3 linked regions of the Xenopus tropicalis genome follow. The protein of the gene in region 2 interacts with the protein of the main gene of each other region in a pairwise test. Links are inferred from orthologs where the notes say so. Each region holds a gene or a part of one and is shown on either strand. Other genes may lie near its edges.

Region 1 (2,203 bases), on a different chromosome or scaffold from region 2:
CACTGACCTATCTATCCACTCACATACAGACCCATACTGACCTATCTATCCACTCACATACAGACCCACACTGACCTATCTATCCACTCACATACAGACCCATACTGACCTATCTATCCACTCACATACAGACCCATACTGACCTATCTATACACTCACATACAGACCCACACTGACCTATCTATCCACTCACATACAGACCCACACTGACCTATCTATCCACTCACATACAGACCCATACTGACCTATCTATCCACTCACATACAGACCCATACTGACCTATCTATCCACTCACATACAGACCCATACTGACCTATCTATCCACTCACATACAGACCCATACTGACCTATCTATCCACTCACATACATACACCATATATACCAACATCAATACTAACTGTAGATATTAGTATCACAATAGCCTTGGATACTATGCTTGTTCAAGAACTCATCCAGGCCCCTCTTAAAGGCATTAACATAATCTGCCATTACAACATCACTAGGAAGGGCATTCCCCAACCTCACTACTTTCACCGTGAAAAACCACCTATGCTGCTTCAAATGGAAGCTCCATTCCTCTAATCTAAAGGGGGGGCCTCTGGCCTGGTCTGAATTTCAGTATCCTTTAGGTGCCACTAATTTTTGAAGGGCTTCATCTGAATACCACTGAATTAATGTATTCTGTTTTATTCATATATTGTGATTTTCATGTTATTTTAGTTTATGGTTGATGCTGCTAACCCAAACCAAGTGTCTGCATCATGTATCCAGCTTCTGGCCGTGCTGTCTGCGGAGCCTTTGGTGTCTGCTTCAGTGCTGATTCTTTTTAATAAGATGTAAGTTTTTATGCCTTCTTTCTTATTGACTTATTATTCTTAGACTATGACTAAGCATGTAGTTAATAAGTTCCATTTTTGTTCCCTGTAGAGACCTGCCATGCTATATGTCATTGGTGGAAATAAAGTCACTGTTTAGAATGGATGACATCATTTCTTGTGCTAAGCAACAAATTTCAGTCCTGCAAACAAGCTCACTAGATGGCACTGGTTTACAAGATGTTATGCACTGGTTGCATTCCAATTGTGCTCAATAACATTCCCTTCACTGGCAATGAAACAGTATGCAGAATGCACCACTTAAATGTTGGATGTACAGCAGTGTTTCCTGGGCAAAACATTCTTAGCACTGTCCCAGTGAAGCCATTTTCCCTTTCTTTGGAGCAGAGAAACAATGGGAAGAAGTGTGTCTATGTGTTTACAGTAGCATTTTCTGCAGAAGGAGTTTGCATCCATTGCACACATTTAGGTATCAACCACATTCAGCCTGATGTGTCCAGATAAAATACAACCAAGGATATCTTTGATACTTACTGAAGCAGTACTTCCTGCATGAATTGGGGACCATTTCCATGTCTTTATCCATGCCAGGGTCTTACAAACATTGGTACGGGATTAACAGAAACATAAGAAGAGATGCTGCAAGTTTTGGCATCACTTTCTCCATCCACTTTCCACTGTCACTCATTTACAGTTACCACATATTAAGAATGGGTCCATTGAAGGTCAAAGCCTCTTTCAGCTGGAATTAAGAGTCTTATTTGATAAGCTATGATTACAATTATGAACATTAATACAAATGATTAAAGTTGAATATGTTTTATGTGGTTTTTTTAATACAAAATTGTAATAAAAGTGTAAACCTTTAATTGTAAAAATGATGCAGGATCATTAAGCTTTTTGATGTGCTGCTAGTGAGCAGTAACCTACACATGCACACAGTAGTAGGACAGTAGTTGCATTAATTAGATGCACTTGGATGATGTTATTTCAAAAATAGTTCAGCATCAGTTCAACACAACCTTTATAACATGATTTTCAGGTTCCCAAAAAGGGTTTTATGGGGAAGCTATTGAACCCAGGTGGCTGCTTTTGTATTATGCTAGAAGTCATAGAAGATCTCCAACCTTAGGTGCTGACTGCAAGGTTGGAGGGCAGCACTGACTTGGCTGCCTGATGGTAGCAAGGAGTCCTGACATGGCACTGCCCTGCCAGCAGTTGCAGGGTTGTTTCCTCTACATGATTTAGTAACATGATTAGTGAGTTTGTATTATAGCTGTGGGTAAAAAAAAATCCACATACATACATAAGTTTAACCTTTTGTTGTAGCAAAACCTTCCTACCTACTACCTGATTGTTTGTGTGGT
Region 2 (4,056 bases):
TGTAGGCAGATGTCTAACATAGTAGCCAGAACACTACTTCCTCCTCCTAAGTTGTTAACAGTCAGTTACCAATCAGTGACTTGAGTGGACATAACATTTTGCACAGTCTATTTTACACAGTTTCATTTTTTACTAAACTGTTCCTTAAACAGCAAAATAAGTAGCACAGCTAAGCAGGGAGAGGTGATGGCTGGGGCTTGCGGGCAGACTGGCATTCAAAACAGGCCATGGCATTTCAGGCAGAGATGCCCAAACCAAACAGCCCCCCATCAACCCACTAGTGACTGTCTATGGCATCTTACAGCAGCCTCTCTGGCATTTGCCAGCCAGGGCTTGGGTGGCAGGGTCTGGGCCCACTGAGATTTTTCCTGATATCCTGGTAGTCCAGTTTGACCCTGGAGCTAAGGTCCAGTGCTTAAGGCAGCACCAGACAAATTAAAAAGTTTAGCTTCCATACAGGGCCCAGTGGGCTGCCTATATCGGTCTGTGTATAGACACATGGAAAGACTAAGAATCCTATATATACTAGGGGCTGCCAAAATGTAAAGCACTACCCAGTGCATTACATTACTATACTATCTCCTCAGACCGATGCTCCTTTGTGTCCTTATTTTTTCAGATTTTAGTCTATTACACATGCTCAAATCTAAGTTTATGAAAGGCACAGCTGAACCACTTTTAGAAAGTTTCCCAAGCCAGTAGTGATGTCGGGGTCGACTTCTTGTCGACCTGCACCCCCCCCCCCTCTCCATCTGCACCCAAACTGGCCCGCAGCTTCATGTCTATTAAATAAAAAAAGACTCCAGTGATTAAATTCACTTAGAGGGGAATTTACATATCAACACTTCCCCTACCCCAATGACAAGGTTTCTTTCCCATTAAAGACACAACACATACAAGACCTTAACCACATCATCAAAAATAAGTCTACTTCTATAGAAATAGACCTAGCAATCTGTAATAATGACCACCCCTTCAGATCAAAAAAACCTTATAGAAGCCACTTATCATATACCTCTGCCTATGGCATGAATTCAAACAAAAAAAAAACCACTCATTGAGAAAATGAAATCAAATATCTGATAGGTTGTCATGAGCAACTGAATTGGTGATATGTAGTAGTTGTTATCTTAGTAAATCATCCATACAGAGAGTTAACCCATACAAAATGGCTGCAATGTAACCGATCTAGTGCTTATTTCATAATGCCAGCAGTTGTTGTTTGTCTGTTAAACAAGCAGGTCTGATGCAGACTTGCACTTTTTTGTAGTATTTTATTATACAAATTTTGAGGTGTTTATTGCGTCTCTGAATCCCAATAGTGTGTGTATTTGATGCATTTAATGTTCTAGCACCAAATATAAACCTATAGATAAGTATATCACATATGGTCACACCATGCTGATAGTTTGCATTAATGCCGTATTGCAGGGAAGTCCTACCTGTGGCCTGCCATCTGGACTAGATCTCCCTAAGCGCTAATCACTAATCACTTTTAATCTTCCAAGAGATGCTGAAAGCTCAACAGCTGGAGGGCCAGAGGCTGGTCATCAATGCAACACTGAGATAAAAAAAAATAAAGCCTGAATCACCAGACGCCACTCATTTTTTTGACTTAAATTTATATCTTATACTTACAACACCTGACCTACACCAAGGGACCCATAATTGTGATATCACTTTCTCATAACATGCTCTTTTCCACTTACACCCTTATTGTTGGATACAGTTTGAATCCCTTTAGGATTTGCTTGGCTCTCTCATCCTGAGACATGTTGAATGCTGTCCTTGATTTCCTTTATCAGTTGAAGGATTATCCCTTGAGATATACAGTTCAAGTTTTCCGGTCCTAGTTATGCAAAAGCTATAAAAGCCAGTGTTGAGTTTTACAGTGATTACAATAGACTTCTGGCCTCTGTAGATGATCCAGGTTTGTTAAGCCTGCATAAGATTCATACTGACACAACAAAAGTTTAGTTTGGTTTAAAATTAAATACGATGGTCTTGGAACAGTACTGGTATAAGTCTTGTTTAATTTAAATTTCAGAAAGTACATGCATGACGGTCTCTCGCTGGCCAGTAGAATGACAATAAAATAGGTGTGGCCTAACCCTAACTTGGACTGTCAGAGTAATTCCATTTCAGCCAGTGCTAGCAACAGCAACCAGCACAAGCAATCATAGGTGATCCAACAGTAGCTTCACTCTCTCAGTACATACACGTTTTAATATGCAATATCTTGAGATGTGTCCAAGTGCCAATTCTGGCAGGTGAGTTGGGGCCCTTGCAGCAATTGATGATATGGACAATACACAAAATATAACTGCAATGGTAGATGGTTTGAGCCAGAAAGGGTACAGGCAAGCGATATCAGCCAGTCAGACCACAGGTAGGCTGTACAGGCCAGACATAGTGCAGGTAGGTCGGTGCTGGGGTAATCTAGCAGCATAAACAGCTTCTATGCATTAAGTAGTAGTTCCACACCTATATCACACCCACCACATAGAGTAATAATCCTGAACAGAATTTGCAGTTTTACTTGCACCTGGAGGCGAGCAGCGTGGATTCTGCCTCTGACAGACGCCCTGATCAGCTTTCCGTAACACAGAGGTCCCAGGGCCACGGCACTGGGAAGAACTCTACAATGTTGCACTGCTTTCCGGAATCGTATAGTAACTACTCGTTATGTCAGCATGGATTTAACAACTAGCTCCTCGTCTACAGGATCTGGCTAAGAAGATTTACTAAGCTACATCAGTTCCTCCTATTTGCCCTATGACGTTTAGTACAGTTCAACAAAAAATGCTAGCACCGGCCAATCACAGTCGGAATCCCTGCTGAGTGATATCGCCACGCACCAATTAGGAGAGAGAGAACGTCGCACGCAGGGCGGGACAAATCGATTTCAAGTCTGGTTGAGTGCTCGCGCGTCACTAATTTGAGGAACCTCATGTTGCATAGAAACGGAGGAAAGTTGTACGGGACACGAAAAGGGTCAAAATACATTCACTGGCTACTTGTTCCAGGTGGTAATAGAGAATAATTGAGTTTGGGTGATCTTGCAAAGTTTACTTACTGAAGCAAAGCAATTTAGAGCACAAGTTCACATGTTCACAACTCGTGTAGGTAACTTAATGCATTACATGATGACTGTTAGTAACTACATAGTTGGGAAGATACTGGATTCTATTTTTTTTTATTTTAGGTTAAATTTACTGGCGCAAATTTTCTCCCCCTCTTATTCAACCATAGTTTACAGACCCGGACTGTGATTCAAAATAGGACATGGCATTTCTATTATACAGAGGCCCAAATAGCCCCCCCCCCCCTCCCCAATAAATAGTGACTTGTAGATTGTAAGCTCTTTTGGGCAGGGCCCTCTTCACCTCTTGTATCGGTTACTGATTGCTTTATATGTTACTCTGTATGTCCAATGTATGTAACCCACATATTGTACAGCGCTGCGGAATATGTTGGCGCTTTATAAATAAATGTTAATGTAATAATTTATAGTGCACATCAGGCATTTACCAGAATACACAGATTACCAGTCCAGGCCTGAGGGGCACCGAAATTATATTATATAATGAGAGGCAGTGGGTACTGACTCACAAAATACATTTTATATAATGGGAGGAACTACGTACTGAAAAACCAAATATAAACTGAGAGGAAGTGGGCATTGAAACACTGCCAGGAGAGCTAGTAGGGAGAGGCGACACAAAAATTCTCTTAACTGCACAAAAACTGGATACCTACAGTGGCTTGCAAAAGTATTCGGCCCCCTTGAACTTTTCCACATTTTGTCACATTACAGCCACAAACATGAATCGATTTTATTGGAATTCCACGTGAAAGACCAATACAAAGTGGTGTACACGTGAGAAGTGGAACGAAAATCATACATGATTCCAAACATTTTTTACAAATAAATAACTGCAAAGTGGGGTGTGCGTAATTATTCAGCCCCCTGAGTCAATACTTTGTAGAACCACCTTTTGCTGCAATTACAGCTGCCAGGCTTTTAGGGTATGTCTCTACCAGCTTTGCACATCT
Region 3 (3,500 bases), on a different chromosome or scaffold from region 2:
AGAAATCTCAAAAAACCTATCCATATTTGGTACTGGCACATTCAGGAGACATGGGACTTTTCAATTCAGTTGTATTTTCATGAACAAAAAATAGATTATGTTTCAGATATATGTCTTTATATTAAGGAAAATATGATTTTATATTTTTTAGACCTTTAGAAACCTATATCTTGTTACAGAAGTAGAGCTACATAAAAATTATAGAATATTTTGAAATCTTAGGTTGTTCTACAAAAAAAAAAAAAAAAAAATGATATACAGTTTTTGTTCAAACACTGTCTGGCAATATAAGTACCAGAATCCACAAACTGACTGCCAGGAAAAGGGTTATAAAAAAAAAAGTTAAGAGCAGAACAATATCAGAACTTTCCACTGCCCTTTGCTGTATATAATGAGCTTAGTGTGTCAGTAAACATTTCATGCGTTTGTGGTGTCAGTATCCACTGTTCTCTATATATTGTAGTTGTGCTGTCAGTACCTATGGTGTGCTTGGAGTGCCAGTGTCCACTACCTCTAAGCATATCTCTGCTTGGGGTACCATTAAACACTGCCATTGTTTGGGGTGAAAATGCAGGATATGGTGCAGAGCTTTTTTCAAATCATATAAAACAGCTAATCAACTTCTGACTTTGCACTTGGAGCAAATGTTGTATCACTGGATATTTATATTGTGGCAACATATTATGTGGTGCTTTACATTAATTAATAACAAACAGTGGTCTTACATTAATTCTATTGAAACAGTTTCTGCAATTTTTAGACTGTGACAGTGACACAGAAACAGAATTGCTGTATATGATACACATAAATAGTTACACGCACATATACTGTATACTGTAGTTAGCATTTATACCTAGAATAATATCTACAGTATATGATCCTGAGACTTATCTCAATCAGTGTCTCGCAGGTGTGGCTGACCTGCATGGGGTTTGTTTTCCATTACCTAAGAACAGTTTGTACAGTTTAATGGAAAAGTTGTTCAGATTATCCATTTTTTCTTAAACTCTATAACCTGTGTTTGCTGTGATCCAATCTGCAGTTTCATCTTAGCTTGCTTTAGTGTACAGACCTAAGAATTATTCCAAAGCACAAGAGCAACCTGGGAGGGTTTTCCAGAGCAATGGAAATGTTATATATGCACAAGGAGCACAAATAACTCTATAACTGCAATGCAGGTATCCCTGGAGAAGGCAACCTCAGGATGTCGTGGGGTTTCCCTGGTTGCTAGGTAACAGAATGCATGTAAACAGCAAGAAAGAATTTGTACACAGAACAACATAGCTTTTTTTTATAATTAATAACTAATAATAACTATACATATACACCAGCAAAAAAATTAAAATTTGAATGAAAGTTGTTGCCTTATGTTGCCCTTTCAACAAGTTTGCACAGTGGCCCAAGAAGTAGGAATGCACTGAATCCACTATTTGGGGATTCTGGTGAATCTTTTAAAGGAGAAGGAAAGGTAAAAACTAAGTAAGCTTTATCAGAAAGGTCTATGTAAATACAGCCATAAGCACTTACAGTAATGCTGTCCTCTATCAAAGGAAATACAGGATTTCTTGTCTCTTTTTTTGTAAACATGATGTTCCAGTGTCTGACTTGCTCTCTCAGAAACATCCTTAATTCCCTGGGCCAGAGTCTGCACAGTTCTCTCCTCTCTCTCTCTTCTCCTGCTCCCCCTCCCCTCTCTTGCACCCCCTCCCACAAGAATGCTAAGAACCACCACCCCCCCCCTCTTAGGAATGTGTGATCTGCGCTTCTAAAGCTGTTTGGTAATGGTTTCTGCAGAATAAATAAATATTGTTGTAGGTGGCACCAATGTGGCAAATCTATTGGCAGTAAAATGCCAAAATTACTTTCCTTCTCCTTTAAGAAGGATTCAACTAAATGTAAAGCCTAATTTTCATATGACATTAGGGGAAGGAAATGGAGGGGAGCTGAGCATGTGGAAAATATTTCAGTTTTCTAAAAGATTTGGCCAAATCCTGAATCTTTCATGAAGGATTTAGCCAAATCTAAAACCTAATTTGCAATCATGTGACCAAAAGTCAAGTGATTTTAAGGGTTTGGATTCGGTTCAGCAAGGCACTTGGATTCCTTATGAAAATAGAGTAGTAATTCTTTCTGCTTGGGTTCTATTATGGAATCAATGCTCTGGTAAACTTTTAGTCTACTTGTGTTCATTGTAATTATCTTGCCCAAAAATTGAATGCATAATTAATCTGCTGAACATACAAGTAGAACAGCTATTAACTCACCAGGTAGGTGTTAATATAAGAAAACAGGGAATGGAATATTCTAGCAAAGTATGCGCATTGTTTCTTGTTTGTGTTTATAAAGAAGGGGCTGTTATGTGGAACAGCAGGATACTGCTCACCTGTGTAGGTGTGATGTGGCTGATATCCTCGGACGCAAGCTGTTTGAGCAGTGTGGTTTTGCCGGCATTGTCCAGTCCCAGGAGCAGAATTCTTACCTCCTGGTCTGGGGCACTTTTCAGTTTACGCAAAATAGACAGCAAACCCTGAAACGACAAATGAGGCACAACATCAGTATGCAGATATCAGTTAATACATTTATTTAGAGTAGAAAGAGAAACGGTGCCTTATATTAAAACATTTTATATTTTTAGGGCCACGAGCTAGAACCAAAGAAGCAGTGTTTCTTCGAAATAGTTCTGTATTAAAGGGGATGCAAACCAAAATTTAAAAATTATATAAAATGTCCTCTAAGCACAATACAAAAAAAAATTAGATTTTTGCAGTTACTTGCTTATTAGCAGTTTTAGACTCCCAATATCCAAGTCAGATTACCAGCAAACTTAACTGAATATGTGCTGCATGCATATTTAGTTAACCCTAGGCTGTAATTTGGTGAGATAAAAGCCCAGCTGGCACAACCACATCTTATATCTAAAGTCTGCATCTTTTGAAATCAGCTAGGACTATTATGAAACTAAACTGCTTTGAGCGGTTAAACATATTTAATTTTAAAAGGTTTTTAGTGCTCAACGCTGCTGTTGGGCTGCACTGAGTAGTAACACCCATCCATTCAACAAGTCATCAGTATGGCTTGCGCAAACATAGTGATAAGTCGTACGCATAGATTCTTGTTCAGCTGGTTGCTAATAAATAAAGCTGAGACAAACTGTATGAACTTCACACAAAAAGTGCTACCATAAAAAGCTCTGTTGTGTTTAAATTCGATTTCCCAAGCTGATTCTACAGAACATTCACCATAACACTAATATATCATCATATATACTGTGACTCATCAAACCAATGAAAAGGCCAACATTCCAAGTATTAGAAGCAATCAAGTTCTCAGTTCACTTTTAAACCTTTCTTGAGCGCTGGGTGACCCCAAACCCCCCATAAAAAGAGCGAGGGCAAATTCACAACTACAGGTTAAAAGTTGCCCAGAGCTAATATGCGCACTTTTACCTGAAGTCACTAGAAATAAGGGCTGCACAATTGTGATGATCACAGAGACTAAAG

What was found.
Region 1: the proteins of retinal rod rhodopsin-sensitive cGMP 3',5'-cyclic phosphodiesterase subunit delta (region 2) and arl16 interact in binary tests that used the Homo sapiens proteins (3 or more experiments, as listed by UniProt). The two-hybrid records come from large-scale screens. The link is inferred for Xenopus tropicalis from reciprocal best matches to the Homo sapiens genes PDE6D and ARL16.
Region 3: the proteins of retinal rod rhodopsin-sensitive cGMP 3',5'-cyclic phosphodiesterase subunit delta (region 2) and arl3 interact in binary tests that used the Homo sapiens proteins (3 or more experiments, as listed by UniProt). The link is inferred for Xenopus tropicalis from reciprocal best matches to the Homo sapiens genes PDE6D and ARL3.

The regions. Positions count from the first base shown.
Region 1 is NC_030686.2:27,583,082-27,585,284, reverse strand, and holds the end of arl16 (ADP-ribosylation factor-like protein 16), read left to right. Parts: intron 1-720; coding exon 721-836; intron 837-927; coding exon 928-1,093; 3' UTR 1,094-1,703; downstream 1,704-2,203. UniProt on the Homo sapiens protein: May suppress the RNA sensing activity of RIGI in a GTP-dependent.
Region 2 is NC_030681.2:101,179,589-101,183,644, forward strand, and holds the start of retinal rod rhodopsin-sensitive cGMP 3',5'-cyclic phosphodiesterase subunit delta, read right to left. Parts: upstream 2,801-4,056; 5' UTR 1,775-2,800; coding exon 1,728-1,774; intron 1-1,727. UniProt on the Homo sapiens protein: Promotes the release of prenylated target proteins from cellular membranes. Modulates the activity of prenylated or palmitoylated Ras family members by regulating their subcellular location.
Region 3 is NC_030683.2:29,027,599-29,031,098, reverse strand, and holds part of arl3 (ADP-ribosylation factor-like protein 3), read right to left. Parts: intron 2,528-3,500; coding exon 2,384-2,527; intron 1-2,383. UniProt on the Homo sapiens protein: Small GTP-binding protein which cycles between an inactive GDP-bound and an active GTP-bound form, and the rate of cycling is regulated by guanine nucleotide exchange factors (GEF) and GTPase-activating proteins (GAP).